Tribolium castaneum: one gene and its partner. The protein of the gene in region 2 interacts with the protein of the main gene of each other region in a pairwise test. Links are inferred from orthologs where the notes say so. Each region holds a gene or a part of one and is shown on either strand. Other genes may lie near its edges.

What was found.
Region 1: the proteins of Rel (region 2) and akirin interact in binary tests that used the Drosophila melanogaster proteins (3 or more experiments, as listed by UniProt). The link is inferred for Tribolium castaneum from reciprocal best matches to the Drosophila melanogaster genes Rel and akirin.

What each region holds. Positions count from the first base shown.
Region 1 is NC_087398.1:5,660,903-5,666,221, forward strand, and holds the start of akirin (akirin), read right to left. Parts: upstream 3,406-5,319; 5' UTR 3,161-3,405; coding exon 2,968-3,160; intron 1-2,967. Other genes in the region: ankyrin-3, read right to left, coding at 4,557-5,318. UniProt on the Drosophila melanogaster protein: Molecular adapter that acts as a bridge between a variety of multiprotein complexes, and which is required for embryonic development and for normal innate immune response.
Region 2 is NC_087400.1:6,385,824-6,390,206, reverse strand, and holds the end of Rel (nuclear factor NF-kappa-B p110 subunit), read left to right. Parts: coding exon 1-92; intron 93-1,981; coding exon 1,982-2,149; intron 2,150-2,202; coding exon 2,203-2,519; intron 2,520-2,567; coding exon 2,568-2,845; intron 2,846-2,895; coding exon 2,896-3,195; intron 3,196-3,244; coding exon 3,245-3,349; 3' UTR 3,350-3,441; downstream 3,442-4,383. Other genes in the region: aldehyde dehydrogenase 1A1, read left to right, coding at 3,926-3,961, 4,007-4,111, 4,166-4,267, 4,314-4,383. UniProt on the Drosophila melanogaster protein: Transcription factor that plays a key role in the humoral immune response as part of the peptidoglycan recognition protein (IMD) signaling pathway.

The DNA of each region.
Region 1 (5,319 bases), on a different chromosome or scaffold from region 2:
TACATTTTTTAAATTCGGGTTCAAAATTCTCACTGTTGAAATTTTAAACTGAAAAGACTTGGGTCGACACTTGAAACCCAAATTATACAATCCAGGTTATTCAAGAGAAAAGTACTAATTATACCCGTCGTTAATTATGTATGTAAAATAATGCGGGGCATCTTTTTCTTTATTCAAATTTAAACTTGCGACTTGAGTCAAGTACGTATCTACAATTCAAAAGGCAACACTTTCTTATGCAACATTTCACCACGGTGGATGTATTCAAATATTTATTAGATAAACAAAACATTTTCCTTCATCAATTTCAATTTAGAATAGCGGATTCACGTCGAGTTTTATTAATGAAAATGTAAATTTAAATATCGGATGTACCGTTCAAATTTCTTCTGGAGTGTGCATTTGGACTACATCCGAGTGAAAAGTTTCCAAATAACTGAACTTGTTTTTCGAGTCGATGCATTTTAGCTGGTAATTTATGATTGCAGATGCCTGGACGCGGTGACACTTTTGCCGGATTTACATACATTTTAACGTATTAGCATCGCCTGTTTCGTGTTATTAGACACATAAATTTCAACAACAAAGCAACATTTTATGCTTATGACCCACCAGTCACGCAGTGGCACATTTAATTCAATTTACAAAGCCGTAAAATTTTCAGAAAAAACCCTAGAGACACAGCCACAACGTCACTATCCGCGAATCTAGACACAGGTGTCCTTCTAAGTCGGGATGAGCTTTTACCCATCTCTTATCCCTTTACGACCAACTACCATTACCAAGTGCTTCGAAAAATTACCAGATTACGGGCAGTAAAAGCATCCTAAACCCAAACTCTCAAATAATGCTGATAAGATAAATGGGAATATTTTTCCAGGAAGTCAGATTTCGGACAAAACATCGAAATCATTGGTCTTTAAATCCAAACAAAACTGTATATGTATTTAATTTTAAAATTTACTAAATTATTACTTATATTTCGTACTATTATTTAAATTTTAAATAAATAAAACAACAAAATGTGTGTTTACAATGGATTTATTTCAACCGTAGCAACTGATATAAAATATAAAGTTCGAAATCCAGTACAATTTAGAAAACAACAAATAGTTTTTTTGAATTTTAAACAATTGTTAGGTTTATGCTCAGCCTAAGACATTATCATACATTCAAAAAACAATATATTAATTAATTACAAAAAAAAACAAGAAAACCATTCCATAACACATTGATTTTCAAACAGCACCTTTATACCTGCGACTTAATATTTTCACAGAAAAGGTCTTTGACATCTCTTTCGTAGTAATGCTTCCTAATAAGCTGACTTTAAGTAGTATAATTCTTGTAAATTTTTACGTTCCCTCCAAAAATGATTCAATTTAAAACTGGTGTTTTCCCCTATCCCCTTATTTTCATATTATGTTCAGATACTTACGCATACACAAAACAATTAACGTATTGTTTATTTGTTTAATCTTTCTTGGCACAAATTATTTTATAACAGTTCAACAACAAAAAAGGTAAATGAATGATGACAATGAAAATACTAATCAAATCGATTAATGTTTCTAATAAAATTATTGTTGTATTTACTTTTGTTTTATTACTAGATTATTTTACCATCCTATATAAAAAATCGAAAAATTGTACGCATCAGCATTTAATAAAGATAATAACTAAATCAGAATCATACTAACAAAAGTGTTAACACAATTTATAACTTCATTTATATGTGATTCAAACAAGATGATAGAAAAATTTAATTTGTAACTGTGTTACAAATTAAATTTTGTTCAAGCATGTCTGAAACGAGCTTTACGAGCTGATACAAAATATGAGGTCAATATATTTTGTTTTCAAGAGAACATGTATAAGCTTTAATGACTTCATTAAAAAAGCTTTTAAGCACGCTCTAACATAAAACAGGTAATGAAAATAAATTTTATTAAAAAAATGGTACAACATTCTTTCTACAGAGACTTTTTTTAACTCTAAAAATAGTCACCATGTTACCAATAATACGAAAAATAATAATTATTTGATGTCAAGTTGTTTGAAGTTTATTTTAGTGAAAAGATAATCCTTTGTAATCCGGCATTTCCCCTAAAAAAATATAAATTGCTTTTGCTTTGAAAAGAACCGAATTGTTATTTGTTTCTTGCCAGTGGTGGCGCAACTCCTGGGGGTAGGAGGTAGTGAATCAAAAAAATACGTTCGTCAAAAAAAAACTAAAACTATGCAAAAATAAAGGTTAATAAATGTCCAGTGTTTAAAAATAATCAGTTTTTAAAGATACTAATCTTAACTGAGGGCTGAAAAGATAATCCTTTGTGATCTGGCATTTCTCTTAAAAAAATATACTCGTACCACCAATTTCGTTATTTAGTGAAATTTGTCGGCTCAAAAAAAGTGGAAATAGAATGACAAAAAAATACGTGCGTTTTTAACGTGGCTCACAATCTAGGAAGTCATGTTGGTACAAGCTCAACTTAAGTTTTATCTTCAAGCTTCTAAATATCACAATAAAATCTTAAGTATCTTTCATTATTACAGTTAGCTATGAAAAAATTATGACTCAAATCATGGAAGATTTATGTATTCCTCGATCGGTCATGAAATTTCCCATAAAACTCTAATCGAATCCAGGCATCCAAAGCGTGAGAGCCTGTAAGCCCCAATTATAAAATTTAATGTCCTCGCTCCCCTCCGCTCCAAAATCAATATACCCGCACCCAGATTTGGTTAAATCGGCAAAAATAACCTAAAAACGTTGAGATAACACGAGCGGATAACCTCAATTTCTAAAATCACGATGCTCCAACGAATTCGAGCAAGATAAGCAATTAACACGGAATTAAAATCGGTCCTGTAAAAAGTCCCTCGGACGTCATTCCTTTATCGGCGATCAGCTGAGACCGAGTGTCAACAACCGCAAAGGCCCTTAGGCCGGCCCTGTCCACTTACCAGGGGTCAATTTTTGGCTGACGACATCGGGAAAGACGGACTTGGGCTTGGGGGAGGAGGAGGTGGCCGGAGGCGAAGCCCTGTCTCTGTGCGTGGGGCTCTCGCAGAAGGGAATGCAGCGCCTGCGTTTGGCCGGACGGCCCCCCAGCACGGGCTCCCAATCCAAGGAACGTTTCAGAGTAGCGCACGCCATTTTTAGTTCTGTCGCTAACACTTCACACACAAAACAAACTTTGTTTCACAGGCTATCGCGAATTTGCTATGTACAAAACCGAAATTGCACTTGGACACTTATGCAGCGGTACTTTTACCCCGAAACTTGTCCATGAAAGGGGAATGGTCGACGATTTCATGCGCACCCAACGACCAATATGGCGAAACGAAATAAGAGAAGTGACATTTTGTGAACGGCAGAGTGGGCTGTGATGAATATACGGTTACCATTGGCTTGCGCGACTCTGCGCATGCTTTGTACCCTGGCGACATCTCCCGGGACCAAAGATCTTCGCGTTTTTTCAAAATTAATTGGGCTAATTTAAAGGCAATTACGCAAATTTCCGTCTAACAACGGCTAAAACGAATGTATCATGAAATCGCTTGCTACCTTATGCCATTTTTAGGCACGTTACTGTTGCTTTTGCTTTGAAAAGAACCGAATTGTTACTTGTTTCTTGCCAGTGGTGGCGCAACACCTGGGGGTAGGGGGTAGTGAATCAAAAAAGTGCGTTCGGCAAAAAAAAAACTATGCAAAAATAAAGTCCAGTGTTTAAAAATAATCAGTTTTTAAAGATACTAATCTTAACTGAGGGCTGAAAGAAAGCAAATCCGTGTAATATAGACATTTTTTTATTAAATACTTTTTATCCAAATATGATACCAATATGCCTCAACAATAAAATCACATAATCTTAAATCTTAACATAAAATATACTATCCAATTTATATATTATACTTAGCTCTTAATAATATTTGGCATATATATTAAAATGTACAGAGCTGATATTTTGTATAGCATAGGACTTTGCCAGATTCCTACAACAAACCAAGCTAAATATTATTGTCAAAGAAAAACCGGTGACGGAACCAAAAACCGTTCGCACACGTCTGTGTGCAGTGTGTTTCAAACGTAAGAGGCACGGAATAAACAACAATGTGAGTGGTTCATTTAAAAACTGTCTAATCTGCACAAAACCCTGTTCAACACGAACACAGCTCAAAAGCGTATTAAGATATCATAAGTCGTAGTTCTACAACATCCTTGCTTTTAGTCGACCCCATTGTACCGTTCAACTGAACACTTACGATTACTAGAATTTAGAAATTTTAACAAGAAATCACAAGTATATTATCTCCCTTAAAAACTAGCAACGGCTGAAGCGCGTCCAGGATTTTTTAACATATCACAGCTAGCGCCAGAAACAAGTCAAACAATGATACGTTTTGATAATTGACTTGCGACGAGTATTTTCATGATTTCGAGCGAGAAAGAAACAATATTCAACACTGGGCTAAGGGTCACATTTAGACATCGCCACTTAATTCTAAACCGATATTAGAAGAAATCCTGAACGACTTCGAGTCACCTTGATCTACGGTTCAAAGTTCAACAAATAATCTTTCAGCTGATTGGGCAGATTCAGTTTGTTAATGTAGAGTCCCGGTCTGCGCCCGAGACAGTTGTGTATTTTAACGCGGCAGATCTGTTTCAGACTTCTTGGTCTTTTGTATAAATCTCTAATAATACAGGTCAACGGCTCAGTCATTTTCCCCGGTACCAAACTCAACTGCTGAGTGTGCAAAATCTTCAGACATTCGAATAGCGGCTTGTGTTGCATTATAAAATAAAATAACATGATTATTTTCGAAAAGCTCATGTTCGGGTCCATTATGAGATTCTCTTTACGCGATATAAGCATTATGTAATAGTACAAGATGTAGTTTTTCGTCTTCCAAATGGATTGGAGGTGCAACGGATGGTTCTTTATTGCTTCGGACATGTTCAAGCTCAGGTCGGGATTCGCCCCGTATTGTACCAAAGTAAGCGTAAGGTCGTAGACGTAGTGGATATCCTTCGAGTCGCGCACGTTCTGTATCATGTCCATGCACGACTGCAGAATGTGCTGCGTCCGCATGCTAACTCTAACGTTCGGATCGAGACCGTGAATCAACAAAAGGACCAACAAATTCTTGATGAATTCGAAATTGAGCTCTTTCTGAACGTCGCAGTTCAACGTTATGTTCTCCGACACGGTGAAAACTAAAACGTGGAGAGGCGTCAAGTTGGCCCTGTAGCTGCAGTTGGGGTTGGCGCCCTCTTTCAGCAAAATCCTGATGCAGTTTAAGTAACAGACC
Region 2 (4,383 bases):
TTCAATGAGTTTGGACAAGACTATTCATTGGTGGTGGATGCACCCTCGCAGTATCCCAAAAAAAATGCCCCCAAGGGGGGTAACAAGAATAGGTCAGGATTGTATACTTTGTTTTTTTATGAGATTTTTGAGCTACTTTGCGCCCTCTGGTAACGATTTTTTGCGAAAATATTGCATCAAAACATTGGTAAGAGACTACAACATGACTATAATACTAGTCAGGATAGAAACTTGACCATATAATTTACCTGTCATTAAGTTTTTAATTTTGGTACCTTATCATGAATAAAAACAATTAGCGGTTATCATTTTATATATTTTTCATGATTTTAATTTCCTTACCACAATCTGAACACAACTGAAATGTCAGTGAAGTCGCTAAATTTTTTACATTCTAATGGCATACTAAGTTTTATCGCCCGCCAAAAACTAAGTACTTCTAGTTAGATAAGAACAAATATTTATTTTACATTTAATTTTCAAACGTTAATTTGTAGTTAATTTAAAAAAAAACGTATGTAGGACGGAAGTAACAATCGAACTAATTTTTGTTTCATTATTGGTATTTCACAAAAATTTAAATGTAAAATATTGAAACCAGCTCAGAAAACGAGCATTTATTTTTTTTTTCAAAAATCTAGGAAAGAGACTACCAAAATAATTTTAATGTTGAACTTATTTTAAATATAAATGAAAGTAATCATCTTGAAAGCCCTCTGGGTTTGCTTACTACATTTTCTCTAATGAAAAAATACATAATTCTTTTTTATTATTACACTTTCACTGTAACATACATTGTTTATTATTATTTCTCATTTCATTTTGAAAAAATATAAATTTTGTGTTAAATGGTTTAATAAAAATTGCGATAGAAAAATAGAAATAGAAATAGAAAAAGTATTTTTGTGTCACTTAAAGCGAAATGTCATAAACCAAATACGATGAAAATGTTTCAAATATTTTTACATAATAACGTTTCTCCCAGTTTTGAAGTGACCATTTTTAAATTTAAATAATTAAAAAGAGGACTACGTATTTGCTGTGCTATTTGATATTTTCCTTTTGTGTGTTCAAATCAATGTCATCTAGATTGACTTGAGAAAAAAAGAATTTGTGTCTTTATTTTTATTATTTTATTGTCACTATTAATAGGAAATATTTTTGATTATACAGTGTCTTGAAAAAAAAATGTATGATGTCATAATAATATTAATATTTATTATGCTCATTAGGATGCCTTTTTAGCTTCTACATGTCCCCAAAGTTTTTTTTGAAATTGGTTCAGGGATTACTGTTAAAAAAAATAAAAACCAAAAAAAATCAGTTTTACACCTTTATTTTTAAAAATTAATAAAAAATACAAACGGTGTTTTCTCGGTCACATTATTAGTACGTACGTCTTGAACAAGGTCTAACAGACGTAATTAATTAAGTGTGATTAATCTAATTATTACAGGGTGTTTACAATTTATTTTCAAACATCTTAAAGATTACAGCCTTTTATTTTGGTTATTTCAAATGGCAATCCCTGTTTATTTTTATACCATTCAATAGGGAATTAGAAAATTAACGTTTTTTCTTATTACTAATTATAATCTTTTACCAAAAAATTGTCATAGAGTGCCATTAAAAAAAAGAATAATTCAAAAACTAGCAGGAATTTCGAAAAAAAATATTCTTTAAAAATGATCATATTTTCAAAATAGTTGATGATTCACTAATTAATATAAACTACAGAAGCACGAATTAATTTTATCACTTACATACTGAAAAACCTGTAGAAACAAGATTTATCGTATTATTTATTTTTTATATTTATTTATTGAGGGAAAGTGCCCTATCTTGGTGTAAATAACTACGAGTTTTAGCGTAATTTTTGTGAATCGGATCTGGCTATAAATCTGTATTTAAATTTTATAATTGACCACCAGAGAGCGCAAAGGTTTTAACTGAAATCGCTTATCCGAATTTTATCTAATAGATCGATGAAATCGTCAAAATCAAACTACCAAAGAGCGGACAACAGCGAGGACATAGTAATGGCCAAACAGGCAGTCATGGAGTTACAAAACTTCATTAAAACAAAACCTAGTGACGAAAAAGCCATCAGTATGTTGCGCCATTACTTAATGACTGAAGATAAAACCAAGTAATAATTTAACCGGTTTGAAACTATTTACTTAATTCAATTAAAAATTTTAGTGCCTTGCATGTTTCCATCAAGCAGAATAAGCAAGCCGACGTGATATTTTTACTCAAAATGGTGTACGTTTGGAAACAGTACCATTTAACCAACATTTACAACGACCAGTGCGAGACCGCTCTTCACATCGCCACTTGTATGCATTTGGAGGAAATTGTTTCGAACTTAATCGTGTGTAAAGCGGACGCTTCAATCGGTGATTCCGACATGAACACTGCTCTACATCTCGCTGTCATAACTAACGCACCCACGCCCATTTTTGAGAAGTTACTATCGGGCGATCACGTCAAAAAATTCATAGATAATGAAAATAATGGTAATTTTTGTTTTGTTGCGTTTACGTTTTTGTGACTTGTGGTTCTAGAGGGCAACACTGCGCTTAATTTGGCGATCGAGAATTCCAACATGCGGGCCTTAAAATTACTGTTGATTCACGGTGCTGATATTAATAAGCAACACAAAAAGAACGGTTATACACCTCTCAGGTTTGCCATCGAGAAACAAAATCTTGATTTAGTTCGATATATTTTGCAACACGAGAAGCTCAATCCGATGATTGAGGATTTCAAGGACATTAACCCGTTACAGGCGGCCATGAAAAAGGATAATTCGGAACTGATTGATCTAATTACCGAATTTATGGTATTGTCCTTTTTTTGTATTTTTTGTTTGTATTTTAATTGTAACTGTAGCGCAAAAATAACTACGTTGATGTGGAAATTAAGAACGAAATCGAGGAATATTCCGACGAGGAAATTGAGGAGAAATACTCGGTGAAATTGGAGCAAATTTCCACCGAAGACTTGCACCAAATGTACGCTAAAGTAACAAATTTCACCCCCGAGTGTTTGGAGGAGATCTCGCGCATTTTAGATGAGTCCCAAACGTGGCAGAATTTGGCCGATTTGCTCGATTTGGGGCATTTGACACGTTCAGGACTCTGTGATTCGAAAAACAGCCCCACGAAGTTGTTACTAAAGGTGGCGATTGAGGTTTGTGGGGTTGCGCAATTTGGTTGGGAATTTAGGGTTTTTGTTGCAGACCAATGGCGACAGTGTCTTGCAAATTAGGGACTTCCTGGAGAATTTGGACGAGACGCGGGCGGTTGAAATTATTGACAATATGGTCAGGACGCAGTTTTGTTAGTTTCTACTATTAGTTTAGTTTGATCATGTCTTTGTATTAATTTCGTTCATTTTTATGTTAGAGAAATTTGTAATAAAGGTATTGTTCCACAATCGAGTGCACTTGACTCGGAAACCCCTCGGAAATAAAATTAACTAGACGCCCTCTGGAGGCGGTATATCGTACTTGCCGAAAACAGTAACGAAGTTTTCGTAATTACTCATTATTTACCAATTCTACGTGTATACTGTTAATTTCTTACATTAGAGTCAGTCAGTCTAAAAGTGTGGTGGTAAATACTGTGGTTTTTCGTGATTTTAAAGTGTTTTTTGTTGGTTTGAAAGTGGATAAAAAGTGAAAAAGTTTAATTTTTGATTACAATGGGTTATTAAAACAATTGCCTAATAAGACTAAGTATTCGATCATAGCGGATAGCGAACACATGTTGGGCTCAAAAAATCGACAAAAATTGAGACATCTACCGGGGAAATTGTAAATTACGGTTAATTTTGGAGATCAGAGGTCAAAGCAGTGATTAGATATCTATCTAATTCCTTAAGAAAACAACAATTACATAAAAAATTGCCACGTTGAAACATGGCTTCCGCAGCGTCTTTAATTAAATACACAAAGGTAAAAATCAATTACAATTAACTGGACTTATTTCGTCCGTTTCAGTTGTTTATAAACAACGAATTTGTGGACTCTGTGAGTAAAAAAACCTTCCCAACTCTGAACCCCACAAATGGGGCCAAAATCATCGACATTTCCGAGGGGGACAAGGTATATTAAGTCGAAATTTTTCGCTAAATCGGACGTTTTTCGTACTAATTCCAGGAAGACATTGACAAGGCGGTCCAAGCGGCTAAAGCAGCCTTTTCCAGAGGCGCCCCATGGCGCAAAATGGATGCCTCAACCCGAGGCAAACTCATAATCAAGGTTGCTAAAAAGGCGCCAAATTCAAACTTTGAACAATTGCTTGCAGCTCGCCGACTTGATCGAACGCGATATTAACACGCTCGCAAAGCTGGAAACCCTTGATAACGGCAAACCCT